3 separate regions of the Mus musculus genome follow, and regions 2 and 3 are each reported to be linked to region 1. The links are microRNA targets in miRTarBase. Many come from high-throughput screens and were not tested one by one. Region 1 holds a microRNA gene; each other region holds the end of a gene's coding sequence.

The links. The annotated mature microRNA mmu-miR-302a-3p reads UAAGUGCUUCCAUGUUUUGGUGA and lies in region 1 at 1,340-1,362, opposite strand. An mRNA with a match to its seed (bases 2 to 7 or 8) in the 3' UTR can be bound and repressed. Matches are read on the target gene's strand: a 7mer-m8 pairs with bases 2 to 8, a 7mer-A1 pairs with bases 2 to 7 and ends in A, and an 8mer does both.
Region 2: miRTarBase lists Chek2 as a target of mmu-miR-302a-3p. Seed matches in the 3' UTR shown: 7mer-m8 at 643-649.
Region 3: miRTarBase lists Car5b as a target of mmu-miR-302a-3p. Seed matches in the 3' UTR shown: 7mer-m8 at 985-991 and 7mer-A1 at 1,639-1,645.

The regions. Positions count from the first base shown.
Region 1 is chr3:127,542,901-127,546,900 of GRCm38, reverse strand. Mir302a (microRNA 302a) reads right to left here and starts at 1,405; the gene lies at 1,337-1,405. Larp7 (La ribonucleoprotein domain family, member 7) reads left to right here. Exons shown (of 13, transcript NM_138593.2): 5 at 83-247; 6 at 332-425; 7 at 498-854; 8 at 931-1,075; 9 at 2,623-2,747; 10 at 3,745-3,869. Gm51018 (predicted gene, 51018) reads right to left here and starts at 1,812. Exons shown (of 2, transcript NR_146435.1): 1 at 1,755-1,812; 2 at 1-267. Mir302b (microRNA 302b) reads right to left here and starts at 1,673; the gene lies at 1,600-1,673. It also overlaps Mir302c, Mir302d and Mir367.
Region 2 is chr5:110,873,055-110,877,350 of GRCm38, forward strand. Chek2 (checkpoint kinase 2) reads left to right here. Exons shown (of 15, transcript NM_016681.4): 15 at 426-1,086. The coding sequence ends at 512. Among named protein-coding and RNA genes, the nearest start is that of Ttc28, 4.6 kb to the right of the region's middle.
Region 3 is chrX:163,975,176-163,979,471 of GRCm38, reverse strand. It overlaps Car5b (carbonic anhydrase 5b, mitochondrial), which reads left to right. Exons shown (of 8, transcript NM_181315.4): 8 at 102-2,650. The coding sequence ends at 281. Gm38561 (a long non-coding RNA gene) reads right to left here. Exons shown (of 4, transcript XR_878297.3): 2 at 2,673-4,296. Among named protein-coding and RNA genes, the nearest start is that of Gm38561, 19 kb to the right of the region's middle.

The DNA.
Region 1 (4,000 bases):
TAATTCTAGTTCATTTATTTATAATTCATTTATTGGTAAAAATGTAGGAACTTTAAAATGTTCATACCATGATTTATTACAGGAGTTGCTCCCCAAAAATGTTACTCATAGCTGGATTGAGAGAGTATTTGGGAAATGTGGCAATGTGGTTTACATAAGTATTCCACATTACAAGTCTACTGGGGATCCTAAGGGATTTGCCTTTGTGGAATTTGAAACAAAAGAGCAAGCAGCAAAAGCCATTGAGGTACGTACTTCTGTGGGACCCTGAAAAGTAAAGAAAAAGCACAGGGTTAACAAGAGTAACAAATTCTGCAATCAATCTTTTCAGTTTCTGAACAACCCACCAGAAGAAGCACCTAGAAAGCCTGGTATATTTCCCAAGACAGTGAAAAACAAGCCCATCCCTTCCTTACGAGTAGCAGGTGAGTGCTTACTTAGAGTGGCCAAGTAAACAATAAACTATTATGACTGTAAATAATAAAATCTTGTTACAGAAGAGAAGAAAAAGAAGAAAAAGAAAAAAGGCAGAATAAAGAAGGAAGAGAGTGTGCAGGCCAAAGAGTCGGCCGTGGACAGCAGCAGCTCGGGCGTGTGTAAAGCCACGAAGAGACCAAGGACGGCCTCTGAGGGCTCCGAAGCAGAAACCCCGGAAGCTCCAAAGCAACCTGCAAAGAAAAAGAAGAAGCGGGACAAGGTGGAAGCATCCAGCTTACCTGAAGCCAGGGCAGGGAAGAGGGAGAGGTGCAGCGCCGAGGACGAAGACTGCCTCCCCCCAAGGCCAAAAGCTAAGAAAAGGGCTCAGAAGGATGGCGTCGGCCAAGCAGCTTCCGAGGTCTCCAAGGAGAGCAGAGGTACCGTGGCAGTAGGGTTACAAATGTTTTAACCAGTTTAACCACAACAACGGACTTACGGAAATCTTTTTTCTAGACTTAGAATTCTGCTCTACTGAGGAGGAGAAGGAGACAGACAGAAAAGGTGACTCACTCTCAAAGGTGAAGAGGAAGCATAAGAAGAAACACAAGGAGAGACATAAGATGGGCGAGGAGGTTATACCATTGAGAGTGCTGTCCAAGTAAGTGGCCACTGACACAGGTCCATCACCATTGCTAAAGTGCAATTCCAATTTCTATTCAACAGAGTTGCATGTTAGCAACAGTGACGGCCTTGGTCTATCTATATGCAGCACAATGAAGATTAAGTAGGAGCCACCACACTCAAACATGGAAGCACTTATTTTTAAATGCACAGCAAGTGCCTCCATGTTAAAGTAAAGGAGGCCCCTTAAGCAGACTTGAGTGGTCTTTACAAAGGCATGAATATAAAGGAAAACATACCATCACCAAAACATGGAAGCACTTACTTTCTTAGGTCTAAAGCAAGTACAACCACGTTTAAGTGGTGGGAAGCCCAGTCAATAACTCCCTTAACCTACAGCATCTTAGAGAAAATGTTGAACAGTTTAAGACACCCCCACTGAAACATGGAAGCACTTGCTTTTGTTTAACACAGCAGGTAACCCCATGTTAAAGCAGAGGGGACTCCCATCAGACTCTGAATTAAAAGGCTAGCTTTCTTATTCCAGAGTTTCTTGAATTCACTTCTACTAAAACATGGAAGCACTTACTCTTCGATGAGACAGAAAGCATTCCCATGTTAAAGTTGAAGGGAACCCACCCACAAGGCAACTAGTTAAAACAGAAGAGCAAACCCACAGGAAAGTAAAGTGACCCGGTTACAGACATAAGCTTTACCTCCTTTACCTTCGTGACCGCCTCCCAAAGAGTCCTGTTCTGTCCTCGGAGGGTGAAAGACGCCGACTTTAGACCACTTGTATTTATACTACTCCTAACTCCTGAGTTCCTTTTGGCTTTCTATCTCTGAGAATCATTACAAGACCCTTTGTTATTTTAATGTATCAGCTCTGGGGAAAGTAGGTCCTGGGGACCTGGGTAGGTCTGGATTTTTTTTTTTTTTTTCCTTTTTTGAAGTAAACAGATGTCAATGTTAACTGCTAAAACCATTACCACAAGATATCCTCCTCTTTAAAAAAAATCTCCTATCTGCCCGTTTGATGGCACAGATTAGGGTAACAATGAGCGCTCCCACAGAGCCAGGAGATGCATTGTGCTTCTCTGGAGGAGCCCTAGCTGTTTGAAGATACATCTACATGTTAAATGTATGTAAATAAATAAATTGCTTCCATGGGGTGTTTTTTTCTTCTTAGAAATTCCTTTTGATTCAAGTAAATCCTAAGGAATGTTAGCTCTCAAATTGGAAGCAATTTGAGAAATCTTTAAGTTTTAGTCTCTTACTTTTTCTCCAGGTTGCCTGATTTAGTGATTTTACTTAATAGAAGTGACTCAAAAGTGATTTTACAATTAAATATTAGAAGCAACCAGGAAACTCAAGCATTTTCCTTGCCTGTTAAGACAAAGAAACTTCCTTTGTGTGTTTGCTAGGTAGCTTTAACAAATGGCTTAACAAATAATGTAAACATATGCCTTAAAAGAAAGAAAAGTCAGAAAGACTTGCAGTTCCTATGAACATTGTGTTTAGATCAACTTCAGATTTCTAGTTGGGTCGTCTTATCACTGTAATGGCTCAATTTTTGTTTTTCAGGACTGAATGGATGGATTTGAAGAAAGAGTATTTGGCACTGCAAAAAGCTAGCATGGCTTCTCTAAAAAAAACAATATCTCAAATCAAATTGGAATCAGAAATGGAAACAGACTGTAAAGCGCCTAGTAAGTGTGCAGTGGGGAACGGAGAGGGTGACGCTCATGTAATGGAAGAGTGGGCTTTAGTCTATGAATGGTTTCAGGGGCAGTTTTATTGCAGTGATAGAGTGGCTTCCTCAGTTTTAAGCTGAACCATTTCCAAAAACAAAATGTTTTAAGAAAAGTAAAAATGTGAAGTTTTGTATTACACACTAGGTTTTAATAGTCTGTTTATTCTTCTCTACTTACCTGCGAGCTCACTTGTGAGTGCCTGGAGAGAGAAATAAAGACTGCAGGCTTAGTGGATGATGTTCAGCAAGCAGGAGCATATTAGAGCACTACTCTCGTTCATTGTAATATTAGTAAAGGTTTTAAGTTCTTGCAAATTATACAAATTCTCATATTTGAACAGTATACTTTGTGGCTGGAGAAATGGCTCAGTGGTTAAGCACACTGACTGCTCTTCCAGAGGTCCTGAGTTCAAGTCCTAGCAACCACATGGTGGGATCTGATACCCTATCCTGGAGTGTCTGAAGACAGCTGCAGCGTCCTCATAAATAAAATAAATAAACAAATTTTTTAAAAAATGAAATTGTTGAAGCCAGGCAGTGGTGGCTCATGCCTTTGATCCCAGCACTGGGGAGACAGAGGCAGGCGGATTTCTGAGTTCAAGGCCAGCCTGGTCTACAAAGTGAGTTCCAGGACAGCCAGGGCTATACAGAGAAACCCTGTCCCGAAAAACCAAAAAAAAAAAAAAAAAAGAATAGAATACTTTGAATAGTCTTATGTTCATATAGGCATACATCTTTATTAAGGCTTTATTCTTTGGTTTAGAGGTATAATGCCTTTTGTGCCATGTTGATTCCAATGGGCAGTGTGATTCCTTAATATTATTTACAATTCTGAGATCCTTAAACTAGCCTGAGAAGTCGCTGCTGCTGCTGCTGCTGCTGTTGTAGAATAGTGCTCCTCATGTGAAATGTCAGGAGTGGGAAGGTTACCTCTGGCTCCTTCCTCTTCACAGCAGCAGGCAGTGGTCAAGAGTGTTCCACCCAGGAGAAGGTCAGTGCACAAGGCCCACAGTTTGTGACTGGAGTGATTGTGAAGATTGTGAGCGGAGAGCCTCTACCGGGCAGGAAACAAGTCAAGGTAATATTTATGAACCCCATGTGAAATGTTTTCAAAATAGTATGGAAAACAAAGCAACTCCAGTCAGAATTTGTACCTTTCTGATAAACTACTTGTAGAGTCCATGGTAACACTGATAACTCTTAAGTTTA
Region 2 (4,296 bases), not on the chromosome of region 1:
GGATCATATTCTGAGGAACTCATCTCAAATGGAGGCATTTTAAATAGAAAGTGCATTTAACGATAATAGCTGGTGTGGCACAGTAGCGTGTGTGAGCTCCCTGGTAACCCTGTGGGAGCCGGGAGCTCTGGCTGCTTTACAATCATACCTCACCCAGAATTTTGCTAGGAAAGATCCAATTTGAACTTGCTTTTGTGTCACTTGAAAGGTTTTTTTTTTTTTTTTAAGTGGCTGTACATTTATTAGTGGTTAGAAATCGCCAGGGAGCATGGATAAGCATCTTGATTCCAGAGGTGTGTGAGGAGGATTCGGTTGTCATGACAACTAGTCATTTCCATGAAATGCCCCTAGTTTACTGAACTATGAGGAGCTTTGATAGAAGCTGTGCTTTCTCTTAAACACTTCTCCTTTTGCTTTATTTCCAGACTTCCAGTCAAAAGCGGCCCCTGGAACTGGAGGTGGAGGGTATGCCGAGCACAAAACGCCTGTCTGTGTGTGGGGCTGTGTTGTGAGCTTTGAATGTGAAAGAAATGTGCTTCCTTCCACGCTCCAATTGTCTTCTCCATCTTGACATCTTTTTTTTATATGTATATATTTTTTAAAAAATATAGCCAGGCAGTTGTGGCCCACTCCTTTAATCCCAGCACTTGGGAGGCAGAGGCAGGCAGATTTCTGAGTTCAAGGCCAGCCTGGTCTACAGAGTGAGTTCCAGGATAGCCAGGACTACACAGAGAAACCCTGTCTTGGAAAAAAAAACAAACAAGAAACAAAACAAAATAGCCTATATGATGGAACAATTGCTTTTCCATCACAGATACACGATTAAAAAACGTGGAAATCTGGGCTGATTGTTTGATGACCTGCACTTTAGATTTCTTTCTTTCTTTCTTTCATTTTAAGAAAAATGTTAGGGGGTGGTGTTGAGAGATTAACACCACTCCTGTTGAGGGCTGCAGTTCAGTTCCCAGCACCCATGTAACTACATTTCTGGATCGGATGCCCTCACCTGGCCTCTCTGGTCACCTACTACACATGTGTTCATGTACACAGAAACACATAATCATTAAAAAGAATATTCTAAAACAATGTTAGTAGTTTGTTGTGGCTTTTCATCTGGATCCTCACATTGCCAGTCTGCCCTATCAGGATGTCACTCTGGTTTTAGGCTCATCCGTCTAAATACAAATTCTAAAAGTCCCTTAGAAGGTCCAAGTCCCACTGGCCATGGTAATCTACACCTATGATCCCAGCACTCTAGAGGCAGGACAATGTTTGAGTTGACTTTGAGGCCTGTCTGATCTTTAGAGCAAATTTTAGGACAGCCAGGGTACACAGAGAAACAATCTCTTTCTCTAAACTTTCTCTTTTATCTTTAAACTCTTTTTTTCTCTGTCTAAACTTTTTCTCTGTCTAAACTCTTTCTCTCTCTCGTTTCTCTATCTCCCAACTTTCTTTTTCTCTCTCTAAACTCTCTAAACTTTCTATTTCTAAACTCTTTTTTTCTATCTCTAAACTTTTTCTCTGTCTAAACACACTCTCTCCCTCTCTCTCCCTCTCTCTTAACTTTTCTTTCTCTTTCTCTAAACTTTTTCTCTTTTCATCTCTAAACTTTTTTCTCTCTCTAAACTTTCTATCTCCAAACTCTCTTTTTCTCTCTAAACTCTTTTTCTCTCTCTAAACATACTCTCTCCCTCTCCTTTTCCCTCTCCCTCTCCCTCTCCCTCTCTCTCTCTCTCTCTCTCTCTCACACACACACACACACACACACACACACACACACACACACACACACACACACTCAGTCCCTTGGAAAGAAAAGGGCATCTGGATGTTGGGTGATTTGTACTGGCTGGCTGCCAAGGAGCCCATGGTGCTGCTGCCTGTTATAGGCCAGTCTGAAATTCATATCCCTTAGGGTTCTCACACTCCTGTAATCCATCCCAGACCTTGAGAAGCAGAAATAGTAAGATATTGACTTTGAGGGCAGCCTGAACTGTATAGTGAGACTTTTGCCTTAAAAAATGGATAAAACACAGAAATTATGCTCAGTCCTGTACAGTTTACATCTCTAAACTCCTGGGGCTACATTAAATTCAGATATTAATATCTCCCCCACCCCCACCCCACCAACAGTTTTAGGCAGGTGATAGAGTGCTGCTTTAAATTGGGTCCTCCAGCCATCCATGTGGTAGACATATAGAGAAGTAAGGGGGGAGATAGAGATGTCTCTCTAGTGGTTAAGAGCATTGGTTGTCATGCTGTCACTGCGGGTCATGTCTGGGTCTGTGGTCATGTAGTAGCAGGGGCCTGTTGATTTCTTGGATCATATTACTACATAGACCATGCAGACCTCCCTGGTCTGGGCTGCTGTGTGGGAGAGACCTCATAGATATCCAAGGGCTGATATCCAGATATCCAGAGCTGGCCCCACCCCTGACTGGCTGCAGCAATCAGGAGAGCAGGCCTTCCACCTTGCAGGAGCAGCACAGAGCTGGCCCCACTGCCATGATGGGACATGGGTGCAGTGGAGATGCCCTCCCCCATCCCTCAACACCTGAGGCAGGTCCTAGGTCATGAGAACAGGCAGGACTTGGGAGAGTGGCCTTGCACCTTGTCTGGGCAACAGCCAGCTCTGAGGGAGTGAGTGGGAGAGCTGGCCCAGCCCCTCACTGCCAGCTGCAGTATTGGGTGAGCTAGCAAGGGCAGTGCTAGAAAGCTTGCCCTGGTGGTGCAGATATGAGAGAGCTGGTGGGCTAGCCATCTGTCTCAGCTACCACCCAGATCCAGCGCTTTGAGTTGTCCCACCCCAAAATCTAATTCATCTATGAGCTGCTGGAGCATGTGCAAGGGCTGGTCCTACAGATCCAAAGCTGCAGGATTTCCATGATCCAGGCCAACAACAGGATAACTAAGAGGAGTCCTGTGAGGATCCAGTATTGATAGTGTTGCAGAAGCAAGAAGACTCAAACCAGACCAGTGACTAAATGCAATGAACATTTGCAAGATGTGTGGACAAGAGGGTAGGTATACTGTAGAACACACCCTGGCACACTATAGTGTCCGTGTCAAAATGCTCTCCATGGGGTGTGTTTGTGGGGAAGTTGCAAGGGAAGAGGGGGATGTGAAGGGACGGGGAGATGAGTGAGATTGGGGTGCAGGTGCATAATGTGAGACTCACAAAAATAAATAAATAAATAAAAAGTTGAAAAGCATTGGCTGCTCCTCCAAGAGCACCTGAGTTCAATTCCCAACATCCTTATGGTACCTCAAAACTGTAGCTAAGCAGCATGGTGGCGGCCCACGCCTTCAATCCTTGCACTTGGAGGCAGCTGCAGGTGGATCTGAGTTTGAGGCTAAGCCTGGTCTACAGAGTGAGTTCCAGGACAGCCAGGACTGAGAAACTCTGTCTCCATAAACCAAACATTAAACCAAAACCAAAAGCAAACTCCATCTTGAGTTGAACTCATCTTAATTTTGAGACCTTTTAAATAAAAAAAATGCATTTAGTAATATTCCAATAATGCACACAGAGCTCCCCTGGAAACTCCATCCATGATCACAGTGCTGTCTGCTATGACAGAGGAGGCGGCTGCTGTTGCAATCAAGGCCATGGCAAAATAACTGGCTTCCAGGGTGGTGGTGGTGGTGGCAGCAGCAGTGATCCATGAGCCTACAGAGGCCCCTCCCCCAGTCAGGTTCTGCTCTGGCTGGGACCTTGGCTGGACTCCTGTTCAATTTATTTGATGTTTTATTATGGTTTTCCTCACCCCTTCAAACTGTCGGGGAGACCCTGCCCTTGTCCTAGCTACCTTGTCCAGGAATGAGGGAGCCATGGCCTTGGTGAAGCTACCTGCTTCTCTCGCAGCCCTGATGGGGGCAAAGGGATTTGGGTACTGATGTGTTAGAATAGCAGCTAGTGTCTGACATTGCTTACCAGGCCAAAGCAGTTCCATGTGTAAGAGGTTTTACTGGGGACAGAGAGGGGAGAGAGAGAAAGACAAAGGGGAAAAGAAAAAAAGCGAAAGGGGGTACCCAGGTGAGTGTGGGAAGCAGGGCTCTGGGAAGGTATGTGGTAGCTATAGCAACAGGTGACACCTATGTGTGACATCCTGAGTTTGGAGTGGGTCTGCAAAACTGGTCTTTGGATGCCAACAGGCACTGCTTGTGGTTTAGGTTCCCCTATCCTTTTTTTCTTTTTAATTCAATTTGGAATCAGAAAAAATATATATATTTAGTAGTTCCAATAATGCACACAGAGTGTATGATATATGGGTTCCCCTGGTAACCCCATGGTCG
Region 3 (4,296 bases), not on the chromosome of region 1:
AGTGAGACTCATGACAAACAAACAAACAAACAAAAAAGAAAGTAATTTATCCATATACTAAAGCTTGTTTCTGATTGATATTCGTAATGTTTTGTTTCTAGCTTGAGCAGTTTCGGACCCTGCTTTTCACTTCTGAGGGAGAGAAAGAGAAAAGAATGGTGGACAACTTCCGCCCTCTTCAGCCGCTGATGAATCGCACAGTCCGCTCATCCTTCCGCCATGACTATGTGCTCAATATACAAGTGAAGCCCAAGCCAACAGCCAGCGAAGTCACCCCCTAAGACAGCATTCTTCAGCAGCATCTTGTTTTAATGACTATTAGCTTAAAATTTTAACTAGATTATTTTAAAACACAGCATTTAATAATACTTATATGTATACATTTCTATTTTTTTCTTCCTTTTTTGGGTAACATTTCAAAATTCCTACTCTTGTAAAGCAAAGACCGGGAGACAAACGAAGAAAAACAAAAACCTGTACCCAAATAACGTCAATCTGAGGTCACCCTTTCTTTCTTTCTTTCTTTCTTTCTTTCTTTCTTTCTTTCTTTCTTTCTTTCTTTCTTCTTTCTTTCTTTCTTTCTTTCTTTCTTTCTTTTTTTTTTTTGAGACAGGGTTTCTCTGTGTAGTCTTGGCTAGCCTGGAACTCACTTTGTAGACCAGGCTGGCCTCGAACTCAGAAATCCACCTGTCTCTGCCTCCCAAGTGCTGGGATTAAAGGCGTGCGCCACCACGCTCAGCAGATTTACTTATTATTATATGTAAGTATGATGTAGCTGTCTTTAGACACACCAGAAGAGGGTGTCAGGTCTCATTATGGATGGTTGTGAGCCACGGTTGCTGGGAATTGAACTCAGGACTTTCAGAAGAGCAGTCAGTGCTCTTAACTGCTGAGCCATCTCTCCAGTCCAGAGGTCACCCTTTCTTATGACAGCGTTAAGGCAGAGGAATCTGCCAGGCAGTGGTGGCGCACGGCTTTAATCCCAGCACTTGGGAGGCAGAGACAGGTGGATTTCTGAGTTCGAGGCCAGCCTGGTCTACAAAGTGAGTTCCAGGACAGCCAGGGCTACACAGAGAAACCCTATCTCGGGGAAAAAGAAAAAAAAAAGGCAGAGGAATCTTCATTAACTGTTAAATCTCTCTAATCTATTTCTCAGACAGTCAGAAAGACAATTTAGTTTCCTTTTGGTTAAATGGGGGCTTAATATGAGTGCCTGATCTTGATTTTTCTGTTTGGGTCTAATTCAGGAGCTTAGCTCACAACAAGAGGTTCTTGTGAATTTGATTTTAAAATGCCCCCCTTTTGTTCAAACTGGTGAATTGTCTCACCTTTCATTGTTGGTCAAGTTCTTAGCTACCATCATTTGGAGGTGAATGGCTCTCAAAGTTTAGGTGTAAACTTCCTGGTTTTAGAGTATTTCATGTCTTTTTTAAAAGAGAAGGTCTCATCTGTGTAGCCCTGGCTGTCCTGGAAATCACTATGTAAACCAGTCTAGACTTGAACTCACAGAAGTCTGTCTGTCTTTGCCTCCCAAGTGCTGGGAATAAAGGCTTGTGCCACCAAGGCCAGCTTTCATTATATTTGCTCTTTGACTGATAATAATATGTGTCATTGGAATATTAACAGAACATGCAAGTTGCACTTATAGCAATCTGTTAGTAATTGTGTTTTTATATCTGAAATTGTGTATGTGTGTGTGTTTTGAGACAGTGTCCCACTCTGTAGTCCAGGCTGGCCTGGAACTCATAGTTAAACTTTTGTCTCAGTCTCTCAAGTGTACAAGGCACCACACTCAACGATTATATTTGCCTTCCTTGGCTATCCTTTTTATTTGTGAAACAAGGTATCCTTTAGCTCAGGCTGTATTAGAAGGTGCTGTGTAGCAGGAGCTGCTTTGAAGCTTCAGGTCCTCCTGCTTCCACATCCCAACTGCTAGCATTGCAAGTGTGCGCCACTCCGCTCAGCTTCAGCTCTCTTCCAGTGTTCATAGCTGTGTAGAATCACAAGTAGGGATTACAGTCAAACTGTTAAAAACTACCAATGGTGGTGCTACTTACCACACAAAGCCCAGGCTTCTCAGAAAACGTCTGTGGGAGCCCAGACCAGCAAGTCCGAGCTGAATGCTGGCCATAGTTTTAGGTATATTTTGTTTCAAAACTTGGGTGTGAATTTTTGTATTCATACTTCTCAATGAGTATGTTTATACTAATCTTTAGTTGCTATTACTAGCATATGATATGTCTACTTATTATCAATTTACTGTATAGAAAATACATTTGGTAGTCATGGGCTGGCTCAGTGGGTAAAGACACTTGCCATGTGAACCTAAAGACCTGAGCTTGATCCCCAGAGCTCACATAACTAACCCCACCAAATTGCTGTCTGACCAAGCATCTTTCATCCCATACATACAACCACATACACATTATAAATGCACACAATAATAAATAAAACTTTGGGGGACGGTTCAAGACAGGGTTTCTCTGGATAGCCCTGGCTGTTCTGGAAACTCACTCTGTAGACCAGGCTGGCCTAGAACTCAGAAATCCACCTGCCTCTGCCTCCCAAGTGCTGACATTAAAGGTATGCGCCGCCACTGCCTGATCTAAATAAAACTTTAAAAGAATAAAAAAGAAGCTATATTTTGTAATCACAAGAAAAGAAGAGCTTACTGTTTCTAGAAGTTCTTTTGCATTTTTCCAAGTCAGATGCTTTACCATAGAGTTTGGGATTGTATAGGGAGTATGTCTCAGGGTTATTACTGCTGTGAGGAAGCACCATGAGCAAAGAACCTTGGGGAGAAAGAGGGTTTGTTTGGTTTACTCTTCCACACACTGCTCATCATTGAAGGATGTCAGGGCAGGAACTCAAGCAGGCTTGGATGCAGGAGCTCATGCAGAGACCATGGATGGTGCCGATTACTGCCTTGCTTGCCCTGGCTTGCTCACCCTGCTTTCTTATAGAACCCGGGACTACCAGGGGTGACATCACCCACAAGGGACTGGACTCTTCTCTATTGATCACTAATTAAGAAAAACATGCCTTACAGCTGGATCTCATGGAGGCATTTCCTCAATCAAGTTTCCCTCCTTTCAGATGACTCTAGCTTGTGTCAAATTGACATAAAAGTAGCCAGGACAAAGCATATACAGAACGTTCTAATGATTGAAGTGCTAGAGGACAGAAATATTTCACGCTGGATTTATAGAAATACATCTCAAATCATCTAGTAGTCAATTATTTTTAATATTAGTTGCATTGTTCATACACTGTTACATAGAATACAATAGCATTTCCAGCAATATTTTTCTTTTATGCATAAGGGTATTTTTCCTGCATGCCATGTATGTCTGTGCACCACATGCATGCTGGGTGCCCAAAAAGACCAGAAGACAATGTTGGATCCCCTGTAACTGGAGTTACAAATGGTTATTAGCTATCTTGTGGGTTCCTCTTTAAGAGCGTCAAGTGCTCTAAACTTAGGAACCATCTTTTCAGTACCCTTTAATATTTTATAAAATTGATTTTATGTGCTTATTAGCCAAGGTGTGTGTGTGTGTGTGTGTATGTGTGTGTGTGTGTGTGTGTGTGTGTGTGTGTGTTGGGGCTGGAAAAGCATGCTGCTGAAGTTCTATTTTTTGGCTGGAATATAAAAATTGTATCATATTTCCTGAATATATTTTCTATAGTACAAGCTATGATTACACCAGCTCTTTGGCCAACATGATAGTCACATAGACTTAGAGTAATTAGAATTGTAAAAGCCTCTGTGTTCAGCATATGCCTCCCTTGTGGTGGTATGAAGCTAAACCATGCACATTCTATACTATTACTTTTTATTACTGAAAACACACATAAGTGTATATCCAAATGCAATAGTCACAGAATTTTATCTCATTCTTTTGTTAATTGTCCAGTTCAAAAATTAAGAATGATTCTACTACTTAGTATATAACTCTCCCCCTAAGCACCATAATCACCTAAATTTATTAGATTATCATTTTGAATTGGATATTGTATTTGTTTACATTTCAAATGTTATCTCCCCTTTCTGGGTTTCCCCTCTGCAAACCCCCATCCCATCCCCCCTTACTCTGCTTCTATGAGGGTGTTCCCCCACCCACTCCTGCCGCATCACCCTAGCATTCCTCTACACTGCGCCATCAAGCCTTCACATGATCAAGGGCCTCCCCTCACATTGATGGCAGATAAGACCCCTTCAGCTCCTTCAGTCCTTCCCCTAACTCCATTTTGGTCCCTGTGCTCAGTCCGATGGTTGGCTGCTAGCATCCACAT